4 linked regions of the Drosophila melanogaster genome follow. The protein of the gene in region 1 interacts with the protein of each later gene in a pairwise test. Each region holds a gene or a part of one and is shown in the gene's direction. Other genes may lie near its edges. The genes, in order: Doc3, ATbp, Lim3 and Kap-alpha1.

Evidence for each region.
Region 2: the proteins of Doc3 (region 1) and ATbp interact in a two-hybrid assay, tested with the Drosophila melanogaster proteins (one large-scale study listed by BioGRID).
Region 3: the proteins of Doc3 (region 1) and Lim3 interact in a two-hybrid assay, tested with the Drosophila melanogaster proteins (one large-scale study listed by BioGRID).
Region 4: the proteins of Doc3 (region 1) and Kap-alpha1 interact in a two-hybrid assay, tested with the Drosophila melanogaster proteins (one large-scale study listed by BioGRID).

Annotation. Positions count from the first base shown.
Region 1 is NT_037436.4:9,003,291-9,007,757, forward strand, and holds Doc3 (Dorsocross3), read left to right. Parts: upstream 1-1,905; 5' UTR 1,906-2,027; coding exon 2,028-2,118; intron 2,119-2,180; coding exon 2,181-2,346; intron 2,347-2,484; coding exon 2,485-2,752; intron 2,753-2,868; coding exon 2,869-3,006; intron 3,007-3,073; coding exon 3,074-3,685; 3' UTR 3,686-3,959; downstream 3,960-4,467.
Region 2 is NC_004354.4:23,104,013-23,108,849, forward strand, and holds ATbp ((A+T)-stretch binding protein), read left to right. Parts: upstream 1-1,990; 5' UTR 1,991-2,091; coding exon 2,092-2,271; intron 2,272-2,331; coding exon 2,332-3,318; 3' UTR 3,319-4,319; downstream 4,320-4,837. UniProt on the Drosophila melanogaster protein: May be a transcription factor for genes having (A+T) stretches in their promoter and/or enhancer regions. Binds to AT rich DNA.
Region 3 is NT_033779.5:19,105,377-19,110,378, reverse strand, and holds the start of Lim3 (Lim3), read left to right. Parts: upstream 1-1,951; 5' UTR 1,952-2,992; intron 2,993-4,103; exon of another isoform or gene 4,104-4,213; 5' UTR 4,214-4,307; coding exon 4,308-4,656; intron 4,657-5,002.
Region 4 is NT_037436.4:19,805,512-19,810,898, forward strand, and holds Kap-alpha1 (karyopherin alpha1), read left to right. Parts: upstream 1-1,720; 5' UTR 1,721-1,808; intron 1,809-2,401; 5' UTR 2,402-2,425; coding exon 2,426-2,626; intron 2,627-2,688; coding exon 2,689-3,173; intron 3,174-3,232; coding exon 3,233-3,496; intron 3,497-3,563; coding exon 3,564-4,063; intron 4,064-4,127; coding exon 4,128-4,309; 3' UTR 4,310-4,887; downstream 4,888-5,387. Other genes in the region: CG34116 (uncharacterized protein), read right to left, coding at 1-492; Ccdc58 (Coiled-coil domain-containing 58), read left to right, coding at 691-726, 795-941, 999-1,121, 1,175-1,279; CG14104 (uncharacterized protein), read right to left, coding at 1,429-1,635; Cyp305a1 (cytochrome P450 305a1), read right to left, coding at 5,041-5,387.

The DNA of each region.
Region 1 (4,467 bases):
TTATGGGTTCCGTTCCGTTCCGGTTCCCATTTTAATACCCCCAAGCGATGTCCTTTTGCGGTTTTGTCGGCCCGCTTTTGTCTCCAACATCCAGCAGACCAGACAATAGCAAACAAATTGTAGAGCAGACCCACAAACAGGCAATAATCATAACAATAATTTTGGAAACTGCAGAGAGACACACAAACAGTCGGCGGTCGTCGCACAGCCAGGCCATAAAACTGAAACTGGCATCCTCGCATCATCGAGGCTCTCGCTTTTGTTCCACGGTTGTTCCCGTCGTTGAGGAGGCATCAGCTCGGGGACAAAGTGTGATGATTTTTATGACTCGCCTGTGAGTTTGTGCCGCCAGTGTCGCCCTGCCAACGGCACCGGCACCCGAAATGCAGGACAAGTGGCAACAAGTGGCTGATCCGTTAGACGTATCCCTTTTCCATCCCGTCCTACTACGATGCTCAAGTGGCTCGAAGGCGACAGTGTCTTGGCGCCAGTTTGATTTGATGGCCGCTCCCGGCTGCCGCAATTTGTTGTGGCCCAGCATCGAGTACAAAGTACCATTTAAAGGTCTGATTAGCCGGACTTATCACGGGGCGGATCTCTTTCGAGATTCTCCTTCGCAACGGTAGCGGCGATATTTCGCTGCATCTACAAGATGCACGGCAGATTGCAGATAAGTTAAATGCAACCGAACATATGGGTTCCGATCATGACGGTGGAATAGATAGATCTATGAACTGGTTATCAAAGGTTTGACACTCAAGTGCTGTCTCAAGATGATATGCCGATGATCAAAATGTTAAATAACCTAGAAGATACTTTAGAAGTCATTCGATTTGAAGGATAAGCTGTGGGAAAATAATAATAATAATAATAATAATAGTGCAGTACTAAAATTCTTAACCTAAATTTTAAATCTTTTTGTATAGTATCTCTTTAAATATTCTTGTCTAATAAATACCACTTTTAACAAAGAGTAAATATAAATTACTTGATTTTCACACCTTTATTTTATTTGCCTAGATTTGGCTTCATTATCACATTGATGAATAGTAAAATGCCGACATAAAACAAAATGCTCGTATATTTTTTTTTATATTTTTGTTATAATGATAATGCAATGTTATAAAAGTACTTTGTTTGATAATATTTTTGTTTTTTATCTATTGAATTGTGGCAATTCAACTCAGACTGTAAACACTGATAGTTAACAGAGAGTTAACGAAGATTTTCCAATCTGTTTATTGTTTTTAACATTAACAAAATTGAAAAGAACGATGAATAAATTTATTTCTACAAAGTATTTTGGAAATTCCTCCTCTAATTCTATACGCCTAATGTTTTTCTCGTGCCTCCGAAATTACAGCTTCCCATTTCTGGGACAATGTAATCTCGCCGAACATTATTGGTTGGCCCATATCCAAAACGTTTTCCAGTTCCATAAATATTACAAACGATTAGGCGACTTCAAAGAGCGCTCCCCCGATTCCACGAAGAAAAGCCCCATTCCCCATTGCCGTTCCCTTTCCACGTAACGCTATCAGCAGCAAGATGGGTGCCGTGCCCCCCAGTTCCGTGAGAGGAGGTCACCAGAACCGCTCCACGCGGCGTTACGAAAATGGCGTTCCATCTGGCGCAGCGAGTGCAAGCGGGACGGCGTAACGCTCGCTGATAAGCGACCAATGGCAAAGAGATAAACATACACACATGGCCTGACGCACTGGAAGTGGAAGCGAGAGAGCGGGTGAGTGGCAAGCCACTTGAGCATGAGAACAGGTTAGGCAACTACCTGAGGATAGGGATCGGATCGGATCGGATCGGCAGAGTGAAGAGCGAAGTGAGCGGGAGGAACCCAACCGACCGGATTCTGGCAGAACTGAAGTAGTGCCCGCTCTGAGATTCCGAGAGACAGTCTCAATCTGGACAGCAAAGCGATCAGTTCGTGTTCCAGACGTCGATTGCCCACGGAATAATATCAACGTATCACAAAAATAATAGATTACGCACATAGCTCCACGAAGACCCCAAATATGTTGACCTTGCCCAACATCGCCGATCTGCGATTGCAGCAGCAGATCGCCCAGGAGATATACCGCCAGCAGATTATGCAACGTTTACCCGGTAAGTGGAGCACTCCCTGCGCTTGTGATTTGCCGTCGGCTAACCCAAAGTGTCTACCACAGATCCCCTATGCGGCCTGCTACCCAACTTTGCCGGACACTTTATGCCACCGCCGCCACCGCCGCAACCCACTTTGCCCGGCGATGTGGAGGCCAAGCTGGAGAATAACGAACTCTGGCAGCAGTTCCACAGCATCGGCACCGAGATGATCATCACCAAGTGCGGCAGGTTGGTACCATTTTAAAGTCAACTATTTGCTCGCCCCCATCAGCTTATCTCCCATTGATAAGCCTTCTGCTTACTCTTAAATCTTACGGCGCAAACGTGTCACTAACATCCATTAACCAACGCCTCCATCCCTTTCAGACGCATGTTCCCTTCGATGCGGGTTTCCCTCAGTGGACTGGAGGAGGAGGCCAGCTATTGCGTGCTCCTCGAGATGGTGCCCATTGGCGATTGTCGCTATAAGTTCTCTGGATCCCAGTGGGTGCCGGCCGGAGGAGCCGAGCCCCAGAGCCCGCAGCGCATGTATCTGCATCCGGAGAGTCCAGCCACGGGAAAACACTGGCAATCCCAGGCTCTGCTCTTCAGCAAAGTGAAATTGACGAATAATACGCTGGATAACAATGGTCATGTAAGTAAACTTTGTCAAGAATATTACATAAACAAATTTGATCTTTTGTTCTTGAGTAGAAATATATGTATCTTTGTATATCCTCAAACTAACCGTGTATTTTTCTGTCTCTCCAGATCGTCTTGGCCAGCATGCACAAGTATCAGCCGCGTCTGCACGTCATACGAACCTCTGATCTCGGCCAGATTCCCTGGGCCCCCCAACAGGCCTTTATCTTTCCGGAGACGGAGTTTATAGCCGTAACAGCTTATCAGGTGCGTGGTGCTATATCGCAGTCTAAATATGGCACGTGATAGCTAATCCTCTTGTTTGCATTTGCAGAATGACCGCATAACCAAGCTGAAGATCGACAACAATCCCTTTGCCAAGGGATTCCGTGAGTCGGGTCAGTCGAGATGCAAACGGAAGATCAATGACTCGCCACCGCCAACGCAGCCCGAGGCAAACCAGGTGGATCGAAGCCCGGTGACATCGCCGTTAGCCAAACGGTTGCGACTCGTGGAGGAATTTCCCCAGCACCATCATCACCAGAGTCATCACAGTGTTCCTATGCAGCGTCACTATCTGCTGGATGCTCTGGAGGCCAATTTCTATGTGCCAGCGCCACCGCCGCCGGCCATCGAGTATGCCAGGCACATCGGTGGTGCTTATCCAAGTTGGGCTTACACACCGCCATCGCCGGCCTCCTCTGTCTCGTCCTCCTCGGCGGGCTCGACGAGCGGCGAATCTGCTGCCGACCGAGAGGCAGATGCCGATGCCGACACCTTTGTAGATGTGGTTGGAACCGCACCGGCTGCTCCTCCGCCTCCATCTCCGCCTGTGCCAGCCACTGCTACTGCCCCTGCTTCGTCATCCAGCGATCCGACGATGGCCAAGCCGAAGCGCAGCAGCTTCAGCATCTCGGACATATTAGGAACCAGCTCGTCCATTTAAAACTATCAAGTGCAGACGGGTGCATGTGCTCCCGTTTGGCTTGGAATCGGTGCCTTGTACATTTAATTAGCGTTTAGTTGCCATCGTCTGCGTAGTGTCTAAGCTGAATTGTGATATTTTGCAGTTAATTAGGATTTCCAGGTATTTGCCATCAGTATTTATCGTATTTATTATGCAATTTTAATTGTTCACATGATTTCGTAATGGATTTATTGTCTTTGGCATTTTAATGCGGCATAAATAAAATTGTACGTACATATGTACGTATCCAATGAATTCGATGGAGCTATTTCTGGGATGAAACAATGCGGGGAATGTGAAGCAATTAGATGGGACAGATGCGAAGAGCTTCCAGCTCGAAGATCTGAATAAATTCCCCAATAACTTCCCATGACTGCGCTTCGAATCCTGTTCCTCGAGCAATTTGTGCATGCTGTATGCCTTCCATTTGCCTGTCCTCGCCGAATACATAATTCGGCGTGGTTTTGCCTTTGGTTTCGGTTTCATACATATCTCCCGCATGCGAGGCATAAAAACCAGTTCCTCCAGGCCCCGCACCCGCCCTCCCTCTCCTGCTCCAACTTCTTGTGAAAGAAAGAAGGTTTCTAAGAGCAGAACAACCCACCGGCAAGCAGCAACATCGGCAGCAACAACATGGTCATGGGCTTATCAGCAGATCAGAGCGAGCCGCATCTTAAACGCTGGCGCCGGCGCCAAGTTAAATGCGCTGATTGAGCGCCACGATCACCGGCAAACCTGGCGAGCAGTCCAATTCAAATACC
Region 2 (4,837 bases), on another chromosome or scaffold:
CCCCTTATATTTGTTGTAGTTTGTAACTCTAGAACGGATAAAGATATTTAAATTTTTTTGCCATTATCTTTTATGATACCAAAAATTGTGGCCGTGGCACCGCCTCTTATATTTAATTAACTAATTTTGTATAGGTATTTCTCTAATTTCGTATGCTTTTTCTAGTCCAAGCAAAAGAATGGTAGCTGTTAAGATGATTTTGGCTTGATGTTTGATGCCAATTTGATGTCCTCGAGATGTTGGTTATATACATTTATTTATATATTTAAGTATGTCCTGTGTGTTAAAGTTTTCAATAGTTGTAAGTGGATGGCTTGTTGCGGTTCTTGCTTGGCTGTCAGCGAGTTCATTTCCTGGTGTTCTTAATAATGCAGAATTTTGCTCTTTTATTTTTATGAGTTCTTAGGGCCTCAATAATGGCTAGTATGATGTGCCGTTTGATAAGTTAAATTTCGTAGTTAATAGCGAAGCTGGTAATTTTGTTTGTTTGAGATCCATCTGTGTAAATGTAGGTCTAGGAAAGATCGTTAGTTTGCTTATTATTTAATATTTTCCTTATCAATTTTGGGGTCGTGTTGTTTTTGTTGAACTTATTGTGTGTTGTGTCGATTTTAGAAAGATTGGTGTTTCAGGGAGGTGAGGTTTGGGGGCATATATTACCCGTTACTCGCAGAGTAAAAGGGTATACTAGATTCGTTGAGAAGTATGAACCGGCGGAAGGAAGCGTTTTCGACCATATAATATATATATATTCTTGATCAGGATCAATAGCCGAGTCGATCTATCCATGCCAGTCTATCGGTCTGTACGTAGGGAAATGCAAAGACAAAACAAAATGTGAAAATATATCGCACATACCTAAGTATGTAGTTATGTAAATACACATACATATATACATATATTTCACATTTTACATAGCCACATATGAATATACATATGTGTTTTCGGGTAGGGTATCATTTTAAAAGTGTCTGTCTTGCGTTACTTACATTTTTTCAATAACAAGTACTCAATACTTTTGCTTTTGGATTGTATTTTCTCCACTGTACATTTGTATAACAAAATCCATAATATTATCTTTTAAGCTACGCATTAAGGTAATTTCAGAAGGAAATGAACGATTCCTAGTGACTTCAATATTATTGAATAATAATTGATTTTTCCAAAAAAAAGATTGTATTCAAATATATTTCGGTATTGTTATATATTCATACATAAATTCATTTATACACATAACGGAAAATTAAAAAACATCGATTAGTTCGTAATCAAAGCACATTAAATCAATGCTTAACAATAATCAGGACACACTATGTAGTACGTTATTTAAAAAATTATTAACATAATGCTTGTGTTCTAACTAAATAACCGACTGACCCTTTCAGGAGTAAGGGAGAACTCTTCATTCTGATAATGAAAATGCGAGAAAGATGGAGCTATTCAAACAGCAAAACATTGATACGGACAAGTCCAGTTCGACTCTACTAGTTTTCCTGATCAAGAATATATGTATATACATTAAAGGGTCGGTAACGCTTCCTTTTACCTGTTAAATACTTTTCAAGGAATTTAATATACGCCTCCACCATACGAGGGCATGAAAATCATTTTTGGTACTTCACAACATTTTTAAAATTGTAAAAGGCTTAAAGATTCCATACAACAGTTATTTAATATCGATAGAAAATTCGCGATTCTGGACTTTTATTTAGAAGTTTTTACCTTATCGATATATCGATAGAAGATATTTAAAATGCTATAAAAGTATTTTGGTTCTTCCAATGTCTAACGCTTTTTTTGAGTGTCCTGTTGAGGAAACCAATGTTTTTTAAGATTTTTTCCCAAAGCTTCACATGCGTTTTATCGTTTGTAAATATAATTCCTAATTAAAGTTTTTTTTATGGACCACTGATATGTAGTTCTTTACCATCAATGCGATAGCTGCGTTCAAGTTCGACACTAAATAAGGCCGATGATTAATCGATACTATCGACAGTGCCCATTCGGCCGATAGCTAAACAAAAACAAAAAAAAAATAAACATAAACAAACAACAGCACAAGGACCGGACCTAGTCAAACAAAACAACGCCATGGGTTTTCCGCGCATCCTCAGCAAGAACAACAAGATCTACACCAAGCTGGGCGAGTTCTGTTTGTCGGGGGATAGCTTCTGGATTGTTTGTCACACGTGCCAAGAGGAGTTGCAGACACAGGATCAGTTCTGGAAGCACATACAGGATGAGCATAATTTCATGCACGGGGTGGCAAAGGTATGCTTTATGTGGTTTTTTTTTGGCGGAGGGTTTATAACCCTTGGTCTCTTTACACAGGAACACAGTCGTACATCCAGCTACTGCCTAACGGATGTGGAGGCTGCGGCGGCAGCAGCAACGCCAGGAAGCAGCTCCCAGCAAGGCGCCACAGCGATCAGTGTGCCTCTGGCACTTTACACCTGCTCAACCAAGTATTCTGAGGAGGAGCAGCGGGAGGTGGAAATGCACGAACAGCAGGTGCAACACCAAGTGCAACAGCAGCAAGCGCAGCAGCAGCAAGCGCAGCAGCAACAACACCAACAGTCTCAGCAGCAAGGGCACCAGCAACACCAGGTTCAACAACAGCAGACCCACCAGCAGCTCCAACAGCAGCGGGATGTTGCCAAGGAGCTGGCTGAACTCCATGCCAATGCGGTAGCTGCCGCTGCAGCCTCCGCAGCTGTGGTATCCACAGGCGAAGGAACTACCCAAAGTAACAGCGCCATCGACATTAAAATAGAGCCCAGCAGTCTGACACTTACACCCGAAATGCAGGCTGCTGCAGCAGCTGGGGGGACCATTTACCATCTGCCACAGCTAGTTCCACCACCTGTACCGCCTCCACCGCCAGGGTCCGGATTTGTAAGCGTCAGCGCCAGTACCAGCACCTCCAATACGGTCAGCACCACGCCACCCAATGTTCTACAGCAGCAACAGCAACTAAACATGTCTGTCGTTCCTTCGACGGCTATGGCCGCCGCTATGCTAGCCGCCAGTCAGGAACAGCTGCCCAAGGACTCTAACAGCACGACGGCCAGCGCCGGGAGTGCTGTCTCTTCAGATGACGGAGAACGCTGGTACGTCTGCGATTACGAGACTTGTGGTTTGAAGTTTAAGTATAAGTCGAGAATGGAGCTACATCGGGTAGTTCACAGCAAGGAGCGGCGGTTCAATTGCGAACTGTGCAGTGCCTCCTTCAAGCAGTCGTGCAACCTATCAACACACCGGAAGAAAAAGCACGCACTGAGAGGCATCAAAAGCGAGATATTGCCGCAGCGCTTTTAGGCTATACATTAAACAGAGACAGCTCAAAGATTCCCCAATTAACCACATTGCATCTCGAAAAACCCTGTTTGAAAATGTTGACTTAAGTTCAAGGAAATCGCTTGTTTGCCACAAAAAATGTTCATTGTGCTAGGAGCCACAGAAATCTGTTGAATTAGCAAGGTGTGTACAAAAGAGTTCTACATTTTGTCTCTTCCATGATTTCTCTGCCTTTTCTAAGACTCAATAAAGTTATAGACTTTATATTTATATTTATAAATTAAATAATTCTGGATAATTCCGACTGTAAATTAAAATTTAGCACTGCGTCAACATTGTGGCAGGCAAGTGACATATATATGTATATCACATATGTGTATATATATATGCTCTACAAATGAATATATATTGTATATAAATAAATATATAATATAAATATATATAACATGTATGCATATTTAGTATATAAAAATATACAAATATAAACTAATATCTAATGTAGGCTTAGGTTGTCATGTAAATGTAATGTAAATGTTTAGGCAGAGGTATGAAAACCCCCGTTATCTTTTACGCTCTAAGTGTACATGCAATGATGTGTGTAAAGGAGACCAAAATTTAGAAGACGGAATTAAGCCCAACCAAAAAATATGTTGGTGTCTAGACCGTTGTGAGTTTTGTTTTAGAGTAAATTGGTTCACAATGTGTTAAAACCGATTAGTCTCCTTTGAGTAAGTCTTTTACTTTAAGTTGAAATGGATTCTGAGGACAGCGAGATTTCTGGGACATATCTAGTGGTTGCTGAAATAGTGTCAGTTACAGTTTACAAGGTTAGAACAGTTATTTACCTAGATACACAATATTTATGTATATATGGCCATATATACAGCTGCGAAAAATTTAATATTACCACTTGCCCAATCAAGGTTTGAATAAGTCCCAATTTTAGGATTTAAAAAGAGCAAAAATACCTTTTTAGAAAAGTTAAATCATGCACTTATTAGAAAATAAAAAATAATTACATTGTTCTATGAGTTCTTAACTTAATTAGCCACGTCATGAAAAATGCTTAAATATTCAATTTTAAACAGCTGTTCAACGTGTTGGCATGGATTGATTCAGGTCCTGGCACTGTTTAAGGGATATTTAGGTCCAGGACTTCTTAATTACAGCCCAAAGTTTTCCATTGTTAGTTGCTCGAGAAGCTACAACTGCCTTTTTATTATCGTTGAAAGTATGTAACAGGCAGAAAGGAATCCGACCATATAAAGTATATAACTGCTACGCCCACATTTTTGAAAAATTGTTTGATATTTTTTCATAATTTTATTAGTTGTGTAAATTTCTATCGATTTGCCAAAAAACAGTTTTGAACAATTCTTAAATTTTTTCTCATTTTATTCCCCAATATCTATCGATATCATAATAAAATGATAAAATTTCGTGTTCGCATTCACACTAGCTGAGCAACGGGTATCTCTCTTGTTTTTCTTGTATTTTATCCATTGCCCACAAAGTTAACAACCTTGCTCACATCTGACCA
Region 3 (5,002 bases), on another chromosome or scaffold:
CTCCAAGGATAAAAGTCCAGACACACACCTCTCACGTATGCCGCTCAGATAGTTGATAAGGAACTCGATGGAGGCATGGCCAAATTCACGGAACTCATCAAAGTCCATGATCCTGGTTAATCCAAAAAAAAAGGCGCGATTTACTTTGGGGGGGAATTTGGGTATTTAGCCGCTCCGCTGGTTCCGCACTTGTTCACCGCTGACATTCGAATCTACAAATGAGCTGGCTGCGCTTTAACCAAGTCTCAATGAGCTCCGAATCTCGAGACCCTCCAATAAAAAGTTTGGGGGGGAACTCCAACAACGTTAACAAAAATCCGGCTATGTGTGAAAATGTGCAGTGGCAGCAAGTTTTTTGTCTTTCTGACTGGCCCATTGCCGAGATTTATGTTTATGTAACTACCAAAAGACACAATAGCGAAAACAAGATCGCCGGACAAAAGTTAAAAATGTCGGTGAAGAAAATTTAAACAAACTGCTTGTTAATTGTCTATTAAAATGTGTTATCCAAACACTAGCACTGCTGCTTACTAAATCTCCGCCATCCCCCCCAAAACCCACTGCCGATCCGGTTCCATATCATCACATCATCAGCAATTAACCGTCCCAAGTCGAGCCCATTTGGCAAAATACTTCATGTGTCTAACCATTAACGGCTCCATTAGACAGACGTCTGCGACAAAAGCGTTGGAAAATTTGAAAGTCAAAGTCGATTTGGTAACCGCGGAAGTGAAGCTCCGCCTGGGATGCCATAGATTGGGATCGCGTTGGATTGAGTGCATCGGTTTCATCAGCCATTTCCATTTCCATTTCCATTCACGATCAGTTTCAGTTTCAGGGTCACGCTGCATTTTTATGCTCTTACCCTATATTTTTTTATAATCGGTACTAGTTGGGTTCAAGGGTATGCCGTGTTTTCGTGTTGTTCCGCACGCGTAACGAAAGCCCAATAAGAAAATGCTGAATGTTTAATAAAGGAAATATGTAATATAGTTTATACAGTTTATAGTTTAGCTTCTGTGTAATAGTATCCAATATATATTACAGGCAAGCTGTAAATGATGATGATACAAAAGTCTTAGTATAAGTATGAAGTAATACATTTTACAGCATAAGATGGAATCATGTTTTTTTCTAATATTTATACGTACTTTGTATCTGGCATTTTATGCAGACTTTCTCAGACCGGGCATACTTTTCGAGCGACCCACGCACTCCAGCTGTTCGCGTTCCTTGCTCCGCCGCAGCGCGGAACCCAACCCACAAACGACCTTCCCTGCTAGTGTCCACTTCGGTGGGTGGGCGGAGGTCATCCGTTGGGAGCGGGGGCGTGGGGTTCTCGAGCATGGCGTTGGGGTTCAAAGTGTTTGGCAAAGTATTTGGCGCGCTCTAAGCGGCTCATAAATAAATGCGAAAACAAAATCGTTTTTGCAGACGCAACGCATTTAAGGGGTTTTCGGGACGGGTGGCAAGTATCCACTATAGATATAGGGGTTCCGAAACTACACAGACAGCGAGAATCCTATGCAGATACAGCGAACTCATGGGCAACGGGTGACTCGGGCATGGAGTAGCAACTTCCCCCCTCTCCCATCACCCTGCCAGCTTTGGGTTTTCGAGTGCGCCGGCGCTGGAACGACATCGAACTCTAGGAATAGAAGCGTATGGCCACCCCAGCCCCATTTTAATGGCGACGCTGGGGCGATAAGATAATGGCCACTGCCTGCGCATGCCTGGAAGTTCTTGTTGCTTTTGGACTCTATCGTCGGCCGATTTCCAGCGATTTTCAATATAAAGGGGCGGTGCCTGTTTTCCAGTGGAGACCCCGCATTTTTGGTGACCGCGCGCCGCGTATTGACTTGGACCTTTGAGTTAAGTTTCTCATATTTGTTTCGCCTCAGTCGACGTCGCTGCTGACTTTTAAGTGCTGTTTACTGTTGTTTTGGGGCCAACGAAGGTGTCGCGCTCGACGTTGGTTGGCTTTTTGTTCTACCCACTGTGCTGTTTTCCTTTTTTCATTTTTTTTTTGCCCCTGCACTTTTGCAGCTCAAGCTTCTTGAGGCAGAGGGAAACAAAAAAAAGTTTCCACACCTTCTTTTTTCGACGAGGCTAAAGTTTTTGCGTTTTACAAATATTGTAATGCTCTTGGAATTTGGACTTTTCGGGCAAATGGGCATCGCCAGAGAGCGACACACACATGCGCACGGCCTCCAAAAAGAAGCACAAAAATGTTGTCGCTGCTGGCGTTGTCGCCTCGCCGCCTTGTTGCCATTGTTGTCCTGCCATTCAGGGCTGGCTGTATGCATTTTACCATATCATTTGTGTCACATTAGGATCAATTGGTAAACACACGCCCGCACACCCGCACACACCCACAGATAGTACGTATACGCACGGCGTACCCATGTGGGCGGCCAAAAGGCAAACGGCAAACGGCACACGAATACAAGACGAAAGGCAAAAAACAAAAAAAAAAAAAAAAAAAAACAACAGCGTTAAAAGCTCGCACAGTCGAGAAAAAGCGTGAAAAAGTGCGCAAAGTAAAAAGGAGAGACGACAGTTTGGACGGCCAAGAAAATAAATAAAGATGCAGCGCGGCAAATAGAGGGGATTCCCACCAGCAACAATACCAGCCGCCTGCCAGTGTTGCCGCGTCCAGGGTTGCCGCCGTACCGTTACCGACACCGTTACCGTTTCCAGACCGTTACCTTACCGTTGGGCAAACACCGTTAGCCATGCCGCCGCCATTTTGTCGCACTGGCTTCGCATTTGCCGTCGTCGTTTTCGCTGCCGAATCCGTTACCGTTACCGTTAAAGTTGCCGATGCCGTCGCCAAAATGGCGTTCGCATAAAATCGCGTTCAAGTGCCGCAGAAAATTCAAACGAAATAATACGAAATGTTGAAATAAGAAAATTAAAAACCAGCCAATAATTAACAAAGTTAACAAATACTAGAGTTGAGTGTTAAAGTGACGCAAAAAATTTTAATAGGGTAAATGCAAATCATTTCCACTGGTTTTACGATTCCGTCGCATAACGAAAGGCTCAATAAAAAGGCTAAAATTCTGAGGAACTATTGAAAAGAAAGCCAGCTTGATTAAAAAATGGAATGTTACATTTTAACAGTAGATCCTTAAAACAAAAAAGTCTATTGAGCAAATTGTGTTGAGAAGAGTTACAAAACCAAGATACGTTTAGGATTTTAAAATGTTTAGTATATGAATTTTAATACTAACACGATTGGATTTTGTTTGTTTTAAGATTTAAGGCAATCAAAATAAGATTAATGTGCGATTTCCAACTCCCGATGTTAGCCATTTTAATTTCAATTTAATCTTAGGAGCTTTGCTCCTAAAATTAAATTTCTATAAAATAAATTTCATAGTATTTTGTTTCATTTATATATGATCTTCAATCTTAACTAGTTTCCAAATACTGAAGAACTATTAAATGGAAATTTCCGATTAATTATTCTACGTTTTAATATTTCACAAAAAATAAATTGTTTACCTATTTTGTTTGTTTGAATTTCTATAAAATAAATTATCTTCAATCTTAACTAGTTTTCAAATACTGATAAACTATTAAATGGATATTTGCTATCAAATATTCTACGTTATAATATTTCACAAAAATTTTTTTTAACTATTTTGTTTGATTTGGGAACCATTAGCAGTTCGTTTTTGATAAAAAAACCTTGGACATTGACCGTTTTTTGATAGATAGTATAGTGCACATCCGATTTGTTGTCTTCGCACGAGAATTCTCCTCGTGATAGACGATGAATAGATATGCGCCAAACGGTCTTTTGAATATCTACCGATCAGTTTGGCCCTATCCTCGGCTTACATAAAGTTTACCCGCCTTGCACTTGGTCGAAAGCACCCGAACAATAGATGGTCTAGTGTGCCCCGGTATCGCAAACAAATTCAAATTGTTCAAGTCCCTGGCTACTTCAACTGATAGAGCAGCCGAGCACTGAGCACGAGCCCAACCGAGTGGCAAGACTGGAATCTAGATTCTACCGTAGAAACCGAAACCCAAAGAGACCGCCGCGATAAGGGAAAAACAGTCAACCGGGCCACTGTTGGGCACAAACCAATGCCAGTTATCGAGCAGACAGCGATCCCGCCTAGCGGAGTCTCGTTTAGACGCTAAACGGGAAACGAGTGCGGTAAACTAACACAAAGATTGCTTTTTAAACACCAAACAGGGCTAAAGATACAAACGTGTGCCAATTGGAATAAGCTAACTGAAATATACATATAACTCATACGACGCGTGTTCAAATCGCCGGCCCCTCAGCAATGATGCAAACCCTGAAACCACCGCCACCGCTACATCATCACCACCAGCATCAGCACCAGCTCCAGCATCCGCCTCAGCAGCAGCCACATCCGCATCAGCAGCTGCAACATCCGTTGCAGCAGCAACAGCACCTGTCAGCCATGGATAATCACCAGCAACATCAGCCGCATATCCATCAGCAGCAGCAGCAGCAGCAACAATTGCCACCCACGCCGCAGGCATCTCACCTGGTCGGTGGGCAGCAACAGCAGCAGCAACATCCGCACCACAATCACCTGGCTGTCGACCAGGATGACCCAAATCCCGAACTGGTGCTCGCCTTAATTTCCAGGAACCGGGCGCTCGAGGGTAAGTGGCCAAGTCATGCCATCTTTGATTCAGTCCTGTCCATCTGAAGGCTGCCTAGGAGATTTTCCTGCACAGTGAACAAAAATGTTTGCCAAGAATAGTATATTATTAAAATGTTTGGTTTTCAAACTTAGATTACATTTTTGAATTTTATTTATCAATTTATCAATTTTTGAAATGAAAGAGAGAATAGTCGTATTTACATTAAAAAATATCGTGGTTTCTTAATTTTGCTTTAGTAAATATTGAGAATACAGTTTTCATGTTAAAACCGTATATTTCACTTCTGCTGTAAGTTAACCCTTTGAATACACTTTGCCCATGTGTTGGCCGCGCCTTAATTATG
Region 4 (5,387 bases), about 11 Mb from region 1:
GGACTCCTCGACCCCACTTGCGTCGAGTGGTAGCGCGATCTCGGGAATGTCCGGAATACGGGCTGAAGCTGCAGTGGAATCTCCGCCGCTGACCGCTTCCCCCACAAAGGCGGCAACATCGGCAGGAGAGGGTTTTGTTTCCAACTCATCCGACATGGATTGTTGGTCATCATGTTCCTCATGATGCTCCTGGTCCGTCTCCTCCTTTCTGTCGTTGGATTCGCCCTTGGAATTGTAGCAGCAGAATGCCTGTTTCTTGAGATACTGCAGGTGACACCGGTGACGCCTCAGGTTCGTTGTGGATTTGTGGGTGAAGGACATAATGCTCCTGCAGCCGATGCAGAACAGTACGTGCTCCAGAAAGCTACCATCGTCCTTCTTGATCTTGCGATACACCCGCCACACAGTGCTCCGTGTGCTTTTGTCATTAACAGCCAATTGGTAGACGCCGGTTTCAATTTTCTCGTGAATATCATCGAATTTTAGCGGCATCTTGAATTATTTTGCTATTTTGTTTTGTTTTGTTCAACTAGTCTTTATCATCCACATCGATTGTCCATAATCGTGCTAATCGATTGCACCGCCCAGGTGGCAACCCCGATTAGAGGCACATTGCGCCGGCAATTTTACATATATCATTTTGTTTTTATTATTTTTTAAAGTGTTTTCTTGTTTTCCTACCTGGTTTAAATGGCGGCATTGTGCTTAGACTTTCTCGGCTTCCAGGTGGGGGTTGGAATATTGTTGTTTGGGTTAGTAGCCGGCATACTAAATGGCTTTAAGTTTCCAAACAGGAGGCACTGAAGAAGATGCGAGATGTGGACGACAAGATTATATATGCACTAAATGCCCTGCCAACGGAGTCGTTTAAGGGTCAAGTGAACAGTGAAAGCACCTGTCGCGATCTGTACGCGAAGCTCCAGGAGTCACACTTGGCCAGGGTAAATCCTGATTAAGTACAACACACGGGGATCTTGACAGATAGCTTCTCCTTGCAGCAAGAAAGCATACGCAGTTGCATAACAATTTCGGCTAGTAATCTGAAGAAGCTAAGGGAAAAGCGGGAGACCCAGCCGGATGATGTGGATACGGATAACCAGTTTAGGGCGGAGCAGCGCAAGGTAACCGAAATACCTAAGTCTTACTCTTAACTGATGCCTATGATCCTTTCCAGCTGCGGGTTCTCCAGGCCGAGCTCAATGTCGAGGACATCATTAAAGATCGTTCCTACAAGACCTTCAATGAACGATGCCGGTCCTATTTTCATGCTGGCCAATAGGTGGAACAAATGCAATGACTAGTTTTAGGTGGATTTATTAGCAGAAGTCTCATGGAACTGCCAAGCCAGAAGGCATTTACATGCACTCCGTTGTATTACAAGTTGTTTACAACAAGTACATAAATATAACAGTCTAAAAAGCACAAACTTTATTCGTCGCGGGGCAGGTTGTATGTAGCGTAAACCGATCCGACGGGTACGCATTTTAGGTTGGCCAAGGCTTCCAGGACGCGCTGGGTGGCATCCTTTAGGTCGTTGTACTCGTGCAGCAGTTCAATGATCTTCTTTTTCTGACCCTCTGACGTTTCATTTGTCTTATTGGCCGTTTTGCGCGACTTTTTCTTATTTTCTTTCATGTTTAAATTAAATGCAATTGGATTGGAATTACTGCTATCGGTTGATATCGCTATCGATAGCGCGTCAGCTGTGTGCATTGCATTTTGACAGTCCGGCATCCCCGTTCCTCACAACGTGTAAAATCTCCCGTCCCCTTGCATGATTAAGACGAGAAAAGGATTCTCCGGAACAGGTAAATTGTGTTCTAATTACGTATCTGAAGGCGCCTCTTCTAACCAGGAGTTGTGGTGGCTCAAAGAAGGGCGTAACCGGAGACCAGCGAATGGCTCATGCTGGCTGACCTAAGCCCGCACCTATACGCACAAACGCAAAGCAGCCGTGTGTGCACATATGTACATACACGTACAATGAAATGTGAAAGTGTTGTGATTGTGCATTTTGCCAGGAAAACTGAATAGTTCATTAAATGTGAACCTATTATATGTAAATTATTCGCCTGACAACGTAATCTTTATGTTTCCGGAAATGTAAAATTAGCCTAGAGCAGGCGCTAAGCGAATGTTCAGTGGTTACAGGGCGTAATAATCCTGGTGGGAGTGGATGAGAACATTGGGGAACACCTAGTGATGATTATAAACGTTCAATTCAACTAGTTCGCATTCCACGACGACCTCTACCTATATTTTCTAGATTATTTGCACTTTCGTTTAGCATTTGATCACAGTAGCGGCGAAAATCAAGTCGCACTCACTTTTTATCTGAAACCTGTCTTTACGACTTAAATTATTCTGTTCTCAAAGAAATATTTTTTTTAACTATTTCAAGCTTTTGAATTGCCAAGACGACGAAATGTCTGCCAGCCACAAACAGCGTTATAAAAATGCCGCCTTGGACTCCACAGAGATGCGTCGTCGTCGCGAGGAGGTGGGCATCCAGTTGCGAAAAAACAAACGCGAACAGCAGCTCTTTAAGCGACGCAATGTGGTTCTTGAGCCGGCTACATCCTCAACATCAGCCGGAGTGGAGAGCAACACCGATAACGAACAGCAGGTATATTTTGATCAAGTTTGGCCTGATAGCATAGTCTTAACTATCTCTCCATTCCAATGCAGGCTGCCGACATGCACATGGCTGACAGCAGCACTGGCGGTCAAAACGAGGAAGCTGCTGGAAGCGGGGCACAGCCATCCGTAATCAACGAGGAAATGATTCAAATGCTCTTCAGTGGACGTGAAAACGAACAGCTTGAGGCGACTCAAAAGTTCCGCAAACTGCTGTCCCGCGATCCCAATCCTCCCATTGAGGAAGTCATCCAGAAGGGGATAGTGCCACAGTTTGTCACCTTTTTGCGAAATAGCGCAAATGCCACGCTGCAGTTCGAGGCCGCCTGGACGCTAACGAACATCGCATCGGGCACCTCGCAACAGACCAAGGTGGTTATCGAGGCCGGGGCAGTGCCTATCTTCATTGATTTGCTCTCCAGTCCCCATGATGATGTTCAGGAACAGGCCGTGTGGGCCCTAGGCAACATAGCCGGTGACTCACCCATGTGTCGAGACCATTTGCTCGGCTCCGGCATTCTAGAGCCTCTCCTGCAGTAAGTTATAAATAATTATATTGATAAGATTGCGCCAAAGTAGGTGTGACTTCTTGCAGTGTATTGAGCAACTCGGATCGCATTACCATGATACGGAATGCGGTGTGGACACTTTCAAACTTGTGCCGCGGCAAAAGCCCTCCCGCAGACTTTGCCAAAATTAGCCATGGTCTACCAATACTGGCACGGTTGCTGAAGTACACTGATGCGGATGTACTAAGCGATACTTGCTGGGCCATAGGCTACCTGTCAGATGGTCCCAATGATAAAATCCAGGCTGTAATTGATGCGGGTGTTTGCCGTCGCCTGGTTGAGCTGCTATTGTAAGTAGTCCTGCTGCGCCATTACAAATTAAAATTACACTTATGATTTGTTGACCTATCCTGGCAGACATCCTCAGCAGAACGTGAGCACAGCTGCTCTGAGGGCCGTGGGCAATATTGTGACAGGCGACGATCAGCAGACCCAGGTGATATTGGGGTACAACGCTTTGACCTGCATTAGCCACCTGCTGCATTCGACGGCGGAAACAATCAAGAAGGAGTCGTGCTGGACAATCTCAAATATTGCAGCCGGCAATCGTGAGCAGATCCAGGCCTTAATCAATGCCAACATATTCCCGCAGCTGATGGTTATCATGCAGACGGCCGAATTTAAGACTCGCAAGGAGGCCGCATGGGCCATTACCAACGCAACCAGCAGCGGTACGCACGAACAGATCCACTACCTGGTGCAGGTTGGCTGTGTGCCGCCCATGTGCGATTTTCTCACCGTCGTCGACTCGGACATCGTCCAAGTGGCGCTAAATGCACTTGAAAACATTTTGAAGGCAGGTGAAAAGTTCCAGACGCGACCAAATCCCTATGCTATTACCATCGAGGAATGCGGAGGTAACGCTATTTATTTTTACTTTCAAATTTCCATTTAAATATCGATTCTGTTAATATTATATAGGTTTGGACAAAATAGAGTATCTGCAGGCGCATGAAAACCGCGACATCTACCACAAATCATTTTACATTATCGAACAGTACTTCGGCAACGAAGAGGAGGATAGCCGGGTGGCTCCCGTGGCAGGCACGCAACAGTTTGAGTTCGATCCGGACAACATGCCCAGCACCGGATTTAACTTTTAGCACCCTACCGCGCAGGACATCGTTTAACTATTCAAATACGAATCCCTCAAGTCCTAAACACACAGAAGCATATGCAACAGGAAGCGAAGCCTTGCCGCCGGGATTTAAATGAAGGCGGCCAGAGCACGGACATGAAAAATAGACCGCATGAGAAGGCGTCTGCCTTGCCCAAGTGCAGTCACTACTAGCATTTAAGGAAAGATGGTCGTTCGGTCGGCTCGTTTCTTTGTTACAATCACTCACCTGCTTATTGTATCAGCGTTTAGTTCTATAATTTTCGAAGTGGTCCAGGACCAGGCATGACGAGATTGCTTTCATTTAGTTCGATTGTACTAATTTAATATGTTATACAGAACCCATTGTATATGTTTTTGCTTTCCTCAAATTGAGTCTGTAAATATTTTCCATTTTATATATATATTTTCCAGCCCAAGTACGATGAGATCCTCACATGGTGTTGTTATACATTCTGATTCATTTGATCATTTTGTTATGCGAATCGCCGAATGTAAATTTGTTTAAATTATAAAGCATTGTAATTTAATTTAGAGGACATCAATAAACAACATCTAGACCACAGCTATGCAGATTGGCATAAGTTTTTATTGAATCTTTAAGCTTATAATATCCTCATGTGTAAATAATTTTCGGAATCCTTGGAAATATCCTAGTGGATTCAGCACCATATCTCTTGACCTATAATACCGACACCATCGACTCCAGTCACGAACTTAGGTGCGCTTGACGAACTGCACCTTGTATGGTTTTGGAGTAAGCGTAATCCCAGGCAGAAGCACCATTGATGGAGACTCTCCCGCCGGCAGGACAACGCTAAAATGCTGCACGATCCGCACTAGAAACGAGAAGATGCAGGCACGGGCGAGGGCATCGCCCAGACAACGGCGTCTGCCCATGCCGAAGGGCATGAAGTACTCGTCCTTGAAGCACTTGCCAGCCGAATCGATGAACCTCTCTGGGCGGAACTCCAGCGGATCCTTCCAGTGCTCCTTATCGAGATGCACTGAACGTAGGCTAATCAGAATTGTGGCATTTTTCGGAATGTCGTAGCCACCCAGCT